3 linked regions of the Styela clava genome follow. The protein of the gene in region 1 purifies or fractionates together with the protein of each later gene. This does not show direct contact. Links are inferred from orthologs where the notes say so. Each region holds a gene or a part of one and is shown in the gene's direction. Other genes may lie near its edges.

The links.
Region 2: the proteins of S-phase kinase-associated protein 1 (region 1) and F-box/WD repeat-containing protein 5-like purify together in Homo sapiens (affinity purification with western blotting; 16 studies listed by BioGRID and IntAct, with this or other methods). This does not show direct contact. The link is inferred for Styela clava from reciprocal best matches to the Homo sapiens genes SKP1 and FBXW5.
Region 3: the proteins of S-phase kinase-associated protein 1 (region 1) and F-box/WD repeat-containing protein 9-like purify together in Homo sapiens (affinity purification with mass spectrometry; 6 studies listed by BioGRID and IntAct, with this or other methods). This does not show direct contact. The link is inferred for Styela clava from reciprocal best matches to the Homo sapiens genes SKP1 and FBXW9.

What each region holds. Positions count from the first base shown.
Region 1 is NC_135260.1:7,447,057-7,450,814, reverse strand, and holds the start of S-phase kinase-associated protein 1, read left to right. Parts: upstream 1-1,531; 5' UTR 1,532-1,583; coding exon 1,584-1,754; intron 1,755-3,482; coding exon 3,483-3,626; intron 3,627-3,758. UniProt on the Homo sapiens protein: Essential component of the SCF (SKP1-CUL1-F-box protein) ubiquitin ligase complex, which mediates the ubiquitination of proteins involved in cell cycle progression, signal transduction and transcription.
Region 2 is NC_135255.1:1,742,135-1,745,892, reverse strand, and holds the start of F-box/WD repeat-containing protein 5-like, read left to right. Parts: upstream 1-866; 5' UTR 867-1,052; coding exon 1,053-3,110; 3' UTR 3,111-3,758. UniProt on the Homo sapiens protein: Substrate recognition component of both SCF (SKP1-CUL1-F-box protein) and DCX (DDB1-CUL4-X-box) E3 ubiquitin-protein ligase complexes.
Region 3 is NC_135255.1:10,472,161-10,475,918, reverse strand, and holds the start of F-box/WD repeat-containing protein 9-like, read left to right. Parts: upstream 1-1,050; 5' UTR 1,051-1,410; coding exon 1,411-1,702; intron 1,703-1,820; coding exon 1,821-1,960; intron 1,961-2,252; coding exon 2,253-2,381; intron 2,382-2,470; coding exon 2,471-2,675; intron 2,676-3,139; coding exon 3,140-3,279; intron 3,280-3,692; coding exon 3,693-3,758. UniProt on the Homo sapiens protein: Substrate-recognition component of the SCF (SKP1-CUL1-F-box protein)-type E3 ubiquitin ligase complex.

The sequences.
Region 1 (3,758 bases):
TCTAACCCTAACCCAAATCAATCAAAACTGTAGGTGACCGTACATTTGAACCCACGTACATTTGAACCCATGTGTATATCCCCGAGTTCAATCTATATACAGGTGCTACCCATGGGTTAGGGTTAGTATGGATTCAAATATCCACAAAACAAAAAAAATAGTAAAATAGTAAAATAGGTGCAATAGTATGCAGGTGCAATTGTCGTGGGTTCAAATGTACGTGGGTTCAAATGTAGGCCTACGGGAGCCAAAACTGTATCCATAAGTAAAACGTTCCAACTTGCCCAATATTTGTCACCATGAGGAGTTGTTCGCCATATGATTATTAATCCGTCTTTTTTATCGGTTTTTCCATCCCCCGTGATAAATATGTAAAATCCTATCCTTCACGATCCTGTAACATAGCACTTTACGACAGTGAAAGTGAAGTTTTACAACAGACTTGCGGTGTGTTGTTTGGTGCAAAGTCACTTTGGTCTGGTGTTGCTACACTTGTCACGTGACGCGACGTCCAGTAGGCTGTACTTGCCGAAAAAGCGTTTGTTCTTCGTTGTTATGAACCGTCGAAACTGCGGGCGCGTTTGTCGTTTTTCTCGGCGGCCGTTATGTATCTGCATAATGATTACCGGTAGATTGTTTGTACGTACTCGTATTAATGTGTGTTTGTTTTGGTTGGAATATTCTAAATATAAGTCTGTAAGTATACCGGTACGATGTTGACAGAGCATCCGCGGTCGGGTCGTCTTACGAAACCGGTACCGGTACGGTACCGTACGCAAGAACGACCTAATCTAACATTGACACTTGACAGCCTGGAAATCGCTTTCTGTTGGTTTGCTGGTGCGAAGTAAACGCGATAACTGCTTGAATGATACCAAATAAGAATGTGATGTAGAAACAGTACCGGTACTGGTACCGGTACCGTACCGATAGTTGAAATCTGTATTTGATTACTCCGCGAGGGTTCACGGGTTCGAATCCCATGCCAGGATGATTACCGTATATGCGAGAAGATTGCTGGTATCCTCGCCGCTGTAGGGTGGTTCACGTAACCGCTGGTCGGTTACGGCGACCTCCACTATTAAGTCCATGCTTCCGAAAACAAATACGGTACCGTAACTGGCTAACTAATCCCATACCGGTATCCAGATATCCGACATAGTCTGAAAGAGGTCAACAGATATCTGGATATTAAGTCTATGCATCTGAAAACAAATAACTGGCTACCGTATCTAATCCCCATGGACTGGTACGGTATCCGGACGAGAGGTTGTGGTTCACCATGGGGTTAAGCCGTCTTATCGGCTTTCTGCTTCCCCGGGATAAAGATGTGAATCCTATCCTAAATTTAACTCTGCAACTATGGACAGAACTGAGCAGCATAATAATCAGACAACTTAACAGTCGTTATCTGGTAGACATTTCTGCATTTATATTGATTCGAGGACAGCTAATAAATCGTACTGGAAACATTAGGTACCTGTTTCAATATAGTCTAGTACATGTTATGAACTTTTCATTTTGTAATTTCAGGCAAATATATTTAAATAAGCGAGTGATATAAATAAGTGATATCAGCAAAAATGCCTTCCATCAAATTACAAAGTGCAGATGGAGATGTTTTTGATGTAGACATTGATATTGCCAAACAATCTATGACCATCAAGACTATGTTGGAAGATCTAGGAATGGAACCTGGTGATGACGAAGAATCAATTCCATTACCAAACACAAATGCCGCAATCTTGAGAAAGGTGGTATATCATAATTATAACTGGGTTTTTTAATTAATTTGTAATATTTTTTCATATGAATTTTTCTGTTTTTGGTGCTCCGGAAGTATACGTACGAAGATGGCGGACACCGGAATATAGTATGTGTACCAGGTTAGAGTTAGGCAATAATTTCAGGTACAAATACTACGGGAGTCACTCGGCTAGTCCTCGAACTCGTAATAGCACTAAAATAAGAAAAATTGGAATAAAATTATGGCCTTACCCTAACCTGGTACACATAATACATTCCGGCCACCGCCATCTTGGTACGCATACTTCAGGAGTACCGAATTTTTTCTGTGAAGGTTTCAGCACTCCTTTAGCTTCCAACTTATATTTGAGCAAGTTAAATTCAATTTGTTACTGTCATATGGGCTTAGCGATATAATTGGTGGTGTATCATCGATAATTGATATTACTGTATTATTGTAGATTGATATAGGATAGGATTTACGTATTAATTACGAGGGAAGAAAAGCCGATGACTCGATCGGATAGCAAACCACAGCCTTCCTACCGGTTACCAGTTCATATCGGGTATGGGATTGGTTAGATGAACTTGATGGCGGATAAAGCCATACTGACCAGTGGTTATGTGAACCATCCTGCGGCAGCGAGGAGTCCAGCAATCCTCTCGCACATAACTATCGAGTGGAAGTGGTGACTCCTCTACAACCCATGGGCCAGGGCCACGGCCCATCAGGCTATGGGCCGCGGCCCATCAAGTTGTGTAAAGGGATAAAATAATAAAGACTAATAAATATGTAAATTCTACCTAAATCCTACCCACTCCCTGAACTCATAATAGAACTATAATGTCTGAATATGAAAAATCTGAACATAATTTTGTCCTAACCCTAACCTGGTACACACACTTCAGGTGTATCCTTTTCTGTAGCTTGGTATTTTGCTTTATTTTTATGAAAAGGCTTATCGCAGGAAAAAGGTTTGGTGGCATGCCGCGATTTTTGTTTGGTTCCAATATTGACAATTTTGTAAAAATTGAAAGTTTTCTGATGGGCCGCGGCCCATAGCTTGATGGGCCATGGCCCATGTGGCCCAATTAGATGGGCTGTGGCCCCGGCCTATGGGCCGTAGAGGAGTCACCACCCCTGTAGTAACTATCCCCGACAGATTCGAACCTAGGCAGGGTAATCGGATGTGCTGTGGCAAGTGGGAATTGCTAATTCTTAGCATGATAAAGCGACGCACCGCATAAATAGGCTTACATTCTCACATTTTGGCTTAGTAACTATCCAGGCCTAGTCATTATCTATGCATGTTTTATGATGAAAACATTTTTTAACTCTTGATTATACTAGATGGTACTGGAGTAATGTGGGCGTAACTGGTTGATTATATACTATTTGAGTTGTGTATCATGAGTAGGAAATGGGTTTTTGAATAATTATAATCACCAATTAGTTTTATAGATCTCAATCTGAGTTACTCTTAGTGGCTAATCTATTCTCTTGTTAATTAAAATTGGTATTTATCTCAGATTAAAGTTAGTTAGTTAAATCAGTTAGTTAATAAAAATGCATCTCTAGTGTACAAAACAAAGCAATGTGAAATACATTTTCCATCTCTTTTATATAGTTTTCTTCTGTTCTGCACTGTTTCTTCCTGTTAAGTGTTATCATCGATTCATTGTGTTGTCAATTCAGTCTTATTCAACAAAAAATTTATTTTGATGTTGCAATCCAGGTATTACAGTGGTGCACACAGCACAAAGATGATCCCCCTCCACCAGAAGATGATGAAAATAAGGAAAAAAGAACTGATGATATCCCGGTTTGGGATCAAGAGTTTTTGAAAGTTGATCAGGGAACGCTTTTCGAACTCATTGTGGTGCGTATTAATTGTCATTTGTTAGTATAAGTTATTTCGACTCCATAATCAGCATAACAATAAAATTATTGATAAAAACAAATAGATAAAAACTGAATATGAAATCAGGAAAGCAAACAAGACCTTAGATAA
Region 2 (3,758 bases), on another chromosome or scaffold:
GGTGTTGTTTGCGAACATAAATTACTGTAATAGGTAAATATAATTGAGTGTAACTCTATATAGCAATACATATTCTCTAATATCTTATGTAGTTGAAGCACAATATGACTATCCCATATTTGTGCCTGTGAAATTAGGTTTTTATTTGGACTTCACTACTGTACAGCTGTACTAAGTGAATAGGATTCACATATTTATCCTGGAGGAGAGGAAAGGCGATAAGGCGGCTTAACCATGTGGCGAACCACGGCCTCTCGTCCGTTACCATTCCATGTTGGGTACAGGATGAGTTAGTTATTTGTTTTTCGGAAGCATGGACTTGATGGTCAGATAGTGGACCAAGACATAACCGACCAGCGATTACGTGAACCACCCTATGGCGGCGAGGAGTCCAGCAATTTTCTCGCACATAATCAACCCCGCATGGGATTCGAACCTGCGAACTCACGCAGAGTAATCAGAGGTGCGGTGGCGAGCGTATTCCTAACTCTTAGCACGATGAGCCATAACCACCGCGAATGATATTCCAATGTCCGCATACATATAATAAATCTTAGGATAGGATTTACATATTTATCCCGGGGGAGAGGAAAGGCGATAAGACGGCTTATCCATATGGCAGTATGGCGAACCGCGGCCTCTCGTCCGGTTACCATTCCAAGTCAGGGAAGCGAATAGTTATATTGTTTGTTTTCGGAGGCATGGACTTGGTGGTGGAGGAAGCCGTAACCGACCAGCGGTTACGTGAACCACCCAACGACGGCAAGGAGTCCAGCAATACTCTCGCACATAACCATCCCTGCATGGGATTCGAACCTGCGAACCCACGCAGAGTAATTAGAGGTACGGTGGTGAGTGTATTCCTAACGCTTGAGTGACAGGTTGAGGCAGTACCGGTAAGGTTTAAACATTTGTTTTAATGAATAAACTATGTAGCCTAAGTAAAAATGTTACACGTGAATATGTTGCTTTCTTAGCGTAATATGTTGTAAATGAAATAAATCTGACCTAAATTTGTGATGTCTGCAGACTTCTAAAGTTTGAAGACAAAAATGGGTACAGACCAATATTTCCAGCAGAAATCTGGAAACTGCAACAAAAATAAATTTGAAAATTTGCACCATGGTTGGAAATATCTTCCTACAGAACCACTTATTCAAATTTTTAAATTATTGGGCTACAAAGATCTTGGATGCTGCTCGCTAGCTTGTAAAAGATGGTTTGAGATCGGAAATTTAAATTTTCTGTGGCAAAGAAGATTTCGCCTTGACTTCAAGATAGGTGAAATGGATTTAAGACCTAATGGAATGTCGTGGAAATCAGAATATCAGAGAATGGTAGATCTTGTTCCTAGTGTAGAATTCGAAAGAATTCTTGAGCATGATGATGAAGTTTTACATGTAGCTTTTTCAAATAATGGTATGATGTTTTGTACATGTTCAAAAGATGCATCAGTCAAGGTGTTCAGTGCAGACTGGCCATTTGACACAATCTTCAATGAACATTTAGGGAGAAGTTCCCAATTTAGGTGGCTTTATACTCAATATTCACAATTTAGTAGCAGCGATACTCAACTTCTAGTTTCTGGAAGATGTGAAGGCTCTCAACAAGGAGGAGAAATAATTATATATAATATTTTTATTAAAGAGTTCACTCTACAGGCAAGGGTGAGAATAAAGCCATTTGATGTAATGGGAACTTGGCTTAATGAAACACATATCTTGTCTGCAAGAGCTCATTTGCTAGCAGCCCGTCGCCAATGTCTGTGTGAAGTCCTTCTTAACAAATCGAGTCAGGAAATAGAAAACCTAATGCATTCGACGGTAACGCGTGCATATATGTTTGCTTGTGAAAATGACAACACTGTGAGTTATCTTCAAGTGGCTGATATGAAAAAGGTTATATCACAAGTTTATAGGGCTGTATCTAATGATTGTTACCAAGGAAAAATACATGATATGCACATGAAAGCATTTGGCAAACATAAAGAATACATTAAGGAAGCAGAATCATCAATGAATGCCTGCAAAAATCATGAAGCGTCCACTCCATTAGAAACTGTGTCTTCAATCACTGTGAGAATTTCTTTGGACAAAAACAACGTTCCATCAGAAAGTGATAAAATTGTTGACAGATGTGATGAAAATGTTCTATCTTGCAGTGCAAGAGTCACCAATGATATATATGAAGGAACATTTAGCAATTGTAAAAAGATAAAGCTTGATAGTAGTGTTGTCTCTCATGATCACACATCATTGAATACAGAGGAGGAATCGTCTGTTTTGCTTCCTTCTGTTAAGCGATGTATCACTGATTTTGAAAATGAAACAGACAGCAGCAATCTATTTTCTGAAACAGCAAGTCCTCAGCTGACAGATGATGAACTAGACAGAGATGATAGTGAATCAACAGAAGTGACAACCGGAGATGAAGCTTCGCAGCCTATTAATTCACCCTCACATTATAAACTACTTTTATGTTTTACTGGAAACGACTTCAATGTTCCTCATCAAATCGGAATCAAAAGAATTGAGCAAGAAGAGTGTACTGATGTCATTCGGCAAAAGTTTGAGTCTGATTCGATTAATCTACAAGGGAGACCTCAAGTCCGATCTGACAACTGGGACCATGTTATCGAAATGGGTGGTCAGTTGGTGGGTATGTCAATAACTCCTTGCGGAAGATACTTGTATGTGAATGTACGTAAATGGGATGAAGAAGTTCCACCTCGGCATTGGGCTCGGGATATTTCATCGAAAGTTACTATGGGTTTAATAGACCTGATTTCAATGGAGGAAATTGCTACATTTGAAGGACATGAAGCTTTCAGTGATGTATTTTTTCTTCATATTTCATGTAATGATTTGTATGTTTCTAGTGGATCAGAAAATCTCAAAGGTTACCTGTGGGATAGATATTACGGAGTTTTGCTCTCCACATTCAAACATGTGGATGTTGTTAATTGTGTTGCTTTGAACCCTCGTGATCCCAGCATGGCTGTGAGTGTAAGTGATGATAATTCAATCAAAATATGGCGATCAAAGTCATTTCATAGACTATTGAGCAGCGCAAGAGCAAAAGGTCGTATGAAGTCTGTGTCATGTTCCTGACAGAAATACATAGGTCTGAAGTGTAGGAATGCAGAATAGTATCATTCAATTCAATGACAAGGTTACCTTATATTATTTATAGTGCAGAGGTGGCCAACGTGATCGATCGCCGTATCTTGAGTGGTTCAATCCCGCATATTTGGTTAATTTACTGCAAAAATTTGCATCCAATGAATTTCAAACAGGGCTTGAATATTTCACTTTAAATGTAACTTAGGCATTAGTGAAACCGTAGGATGTTTTAAATTTATCTATCAATTCCGAGTGAACCAGAAGGTTTGAGCAATTATGCATCGTGCACTACCTCCATTTGTAACTTTACTTTTCAAATGATGTCTTGACTAGAAAACGCATGGCTCTCCCTACCATCAAATTTTTTTGATACAATTTTGTCGACGCAGACTACAATGAACCCCAACAGTAACCATACTCATGATGCTATAAGAAATCTGTTACTTATATTTTTTTACGGAACCCCGTATTTAAGCAAAATTTTTGCTGGTTTCATTTAGTTCCCTGAAACACGTCATAATATTTATTTTAACATTTCTGTCAGTTTGTTATTTTAATTTTTACCGCACTTATCTTACTAATTTAATTGTTTGTGTTTTTAATGCGAGTCTCATTGGTCTGACTCTGTAGTAATAC
Region 3 (3,758 bases), on another chromosome or scaffold:
TTGTTTAGTTTAGTGAGTTGATTTAGTAATTCATCCTTAATTGTATGAAGTGCATATTAAGTACTATCTGTCGCCTATCTGTCTATTCGGTGAATTGAAATTTCGATTGTCTATAAGAGGAAGAGGTGGCAAAATAACAATGCGAAATACTTCATCGCTTTGCTTTATGGCCATAATTATGAACAGCCCAGACAACATGATTGGGTTGAAACCGCGAGAACATCGACATCGCGCATAATTAAACAAAATGTTTAGCAAGATAAAACTCGAAGTCACGAAGTAAATCCAATTCAAGGACGAGATTGTGCTATTGTAGAAAATTTAAAACTGACGATATTCATTGTTTAATTAATAAACACGAAGTACATAGTGTTCATGTAACCGCGTTGAGACATATATAAGCCGTTTGTCAAGAAAAATGCTGTAAATGGCTAACAAAAGACAAAAACAACAACGTTTTATTTGTAGATACTTATGCTGACAAATTCTATTGTGGTGTCACATCATACAATCACATTGTTATTGGAGTCTATATGTTAGGATATATTTTTATTTTTTATAAGTGTGAGTAATACGAATCATGTGTCACGGTTATTAAAATAACGCTGGGTAGAGTGTTAAATGGCCTTCGACTTGGGCGGTTTTATGCGTACACAATATTGATTATTTTAAATTTCGTATATTTTCTTGAAGAGTTACTCTATTATTTGCTGCAGAATCCATGTCCACAAGAGAATAGAGGCAAGCATTCCAATTAAATATAATTACTACAAAGAGTTCATTACGATAAGCTTTCAGTCGTTCCGAAAGCATAGTAGAGCCAAATATATCAGTCTCCTCTTATCCAGAGCCTTGTTAATATGAATGTCGTAAACCCTCCGTGAGAAGTGCTGTGCTATATTTCATGTTGTGGTGAACTAATACAAACCATTGTTTTCCCTACTAACACTCATTGTGTGAGTCATATCTTGTTTAGAGTCTTCCTGAGAGAGAGTTTGTGCAACATTCCGTAGCAGCTTGTGGTATTCCTTGCATTGATCGAAGCGTCGCGTAGTAGAGCAATTGTACTCGAACCATTTGGAAAATTGTGTATTATTATAATGTAGACTTAATTAAGACTACTGAATACCGGTACTGATTTGTTTGAGTCTAACGATTCTACTGCACGTTTGACGATGATGGTATATGAGTAAATTGGTTATCTCATTAGAGTTTTGCCGTTTGGTGTAGCCTATAGTCTAGTAGTCTGCCTTGTTTCTGTGTTTACTTTCATTCCCAACGACAACGCAGTGTGAGATTGTTCTGCTATTCTGCCCTGTATCTGTCTATTCAGGCTATCTGCCTCTGATCGTTAAAGACAAAAGACTGAACATTACTAATCCTGCAATCTCTGAATCTAAGCATTTGGTCATGGAAACTCCAGATGATGCAGAACCTTGTGATTGCAAGCAGACGTCAATTGCAGCAGTTGTTGTTGGGGAAATGATGGATTTTAGCTCTTCTCAAGAAATTGATCAAAAGCCACATTTGTTAAAACTACCTCAAGAAGTTTTGTTACATATTTTTTCCTATATTGAAGCTGACTACTTATTGAACACTGTGTCCGATGTATGCCAGTTTCTTAAGAATTTACTCTCAAATGAAAAGTATTGGAGAATTCGTCTTTTTCAAAGATTCCCTCAACCATTTCCAATAGTTCAGGGTAAGTTTGGGGCCTTTCTGTATATATTCGGTTGTGAAAATTTAGCTATGTTCCAGTGTGAATGAAATATTTGAATTCAACTTTTCAGAAGCCTTTGTTCAATATTTTGTTCTTATAGGAGATGATTTGTCGTGGAAAGAAGCTTGTAAAGAGAGAGAACTCTGTGAGAAGACATGGAAAGGTTTGGATATGAACAACAACATGATAACTTTGAGCGAAACAAGTGGATTTGCAACTGACGCAGTTCACTTAATGAAGGTATATTGAAAGGTTTTACATGCATCCTCCTTATGAAAAATTTACCTTCATGTCCCCTCAAAAAATTTTCTACGCCCCCCCCCCCCCCCACCGTTTGAAAACCACTTTTGTGAAGTTTCATCATAATAATCTGGTATACTGATAAAACCCTGATTTGACAATTTTGATTTCTCTCTACTCGGAAGTATCTTGTAAAAACTCAAAAAATTATTTAGAATTTATTGTCTTAGTCATTATTTTTTTTGTTATCCTTTATGGTATATGAAAGCATATAATAACAACTTGGTTTCAGAACAGATCTCTATGCATCTGCGGATCAAGAGATAGAAGCATAACAGTTTGGAAATTGAATCCAGAACCAGGATCGAACATAGGTGCAAAACCTAACGAATTGCATTACAAGAATTTGATGCAGCATAACGTAAGTATCATTCGGCATGGCATCTCGAATCGCTGACTATTTATTCGAATATAATATGTAGGTATTTTTCATATTTTTACAATATACAGGGCTGGGTATGGTCAATCACATCGCAAGGAAACCAATTTTGCAGTACATCATTTGACTCCACTGTGAAGTTTTGGGATGTTGATACACTGAATATGATACAATCAGTAAACGCACGAACTGCAATACTTTGTTCATCTTATATCGATGATAATACACTGATTGCAGGCTGCTACAATAAAAAGACAATTGTTGTTGATACCAGAAGTGAGGTTTGAATAAGTTGTTATTATTATTATCAGCTTCATTTCAAATTCTGATTTTGTATTTCAGATTACAATTAAAATTGTCTAATATCTAACAGCTTGTTTTTGAAGATATGTATTTTTTTCACATGCTTGAAGTAATGTCACTCACACTCTCTCATAATCATAGGAGATTAATCTTTGAGCAAAATTACAGATGCGGCTTAAGTACCAAGGGCTACGAAGATTATAAATCATTTTAGTGAAGAATTATGTGTTTGTAGGTACGGATTGACGCGAGGCTAAAAGTGCTCATGTCAATACCAATAGAATGCCCAACTTGAAAATTTTGTAGCTTTCTTCGGTCTTCTTAATAACCCTCGCTGAAGAAATTACTGATAAAAAACCCTGTGTAATATGATAATATCCCATGTTAAATTATTCAATAACTCAAATTCGATCACTGTTGTACCAACATTCCTACAGGTAGTGGTGTATCACATTCAATGATTCATCATAGGAAGGCAGTTTTGAAAGTTGAAACAAATGATAACTATATCGTTTCAACTGGTGAAGATGGATTACTTGTCATTCTTGATAAAAGAAATTTCAATGTTCTTCAAGAGGTGAATGTTAATTTCTTAATGAAGATGTGTGAAAAAATCCACATCAAATATTAGGTACAAGGTTTATTAAGTCTTTAATGCTGAAATAATTTATGTAAACAAGTCATGAACATGAAAACGTTGCCATTTCAAAAATTGTTATATGGGCTCATTTCCCATTCCCAGGTTAGAATTAAGAATCGTAAATTTCTATGAGCAGAGCTCAAAATGAACATAGTTAAACATGGCATGTACTGAATTTGGAGTTGACTGAAGGTCGTAAATCAAATGTGGAAATACTATTCAAAATGTTTTGACACTATTCCAAAGTCAACCCAAGCTACGAATATACAACCTGTACCACTCCCAATCCTTGAGAGTTGAGGATAGTGTCGTAGTTCTATGATGTAAGAGTTTCTGGTTTCTTACTTCAGATTAAAAGTCCCAGTTTCGCCATGTCCCTCAGCGTACAAAAAGATCAAATATGGACTGGTTTAAGA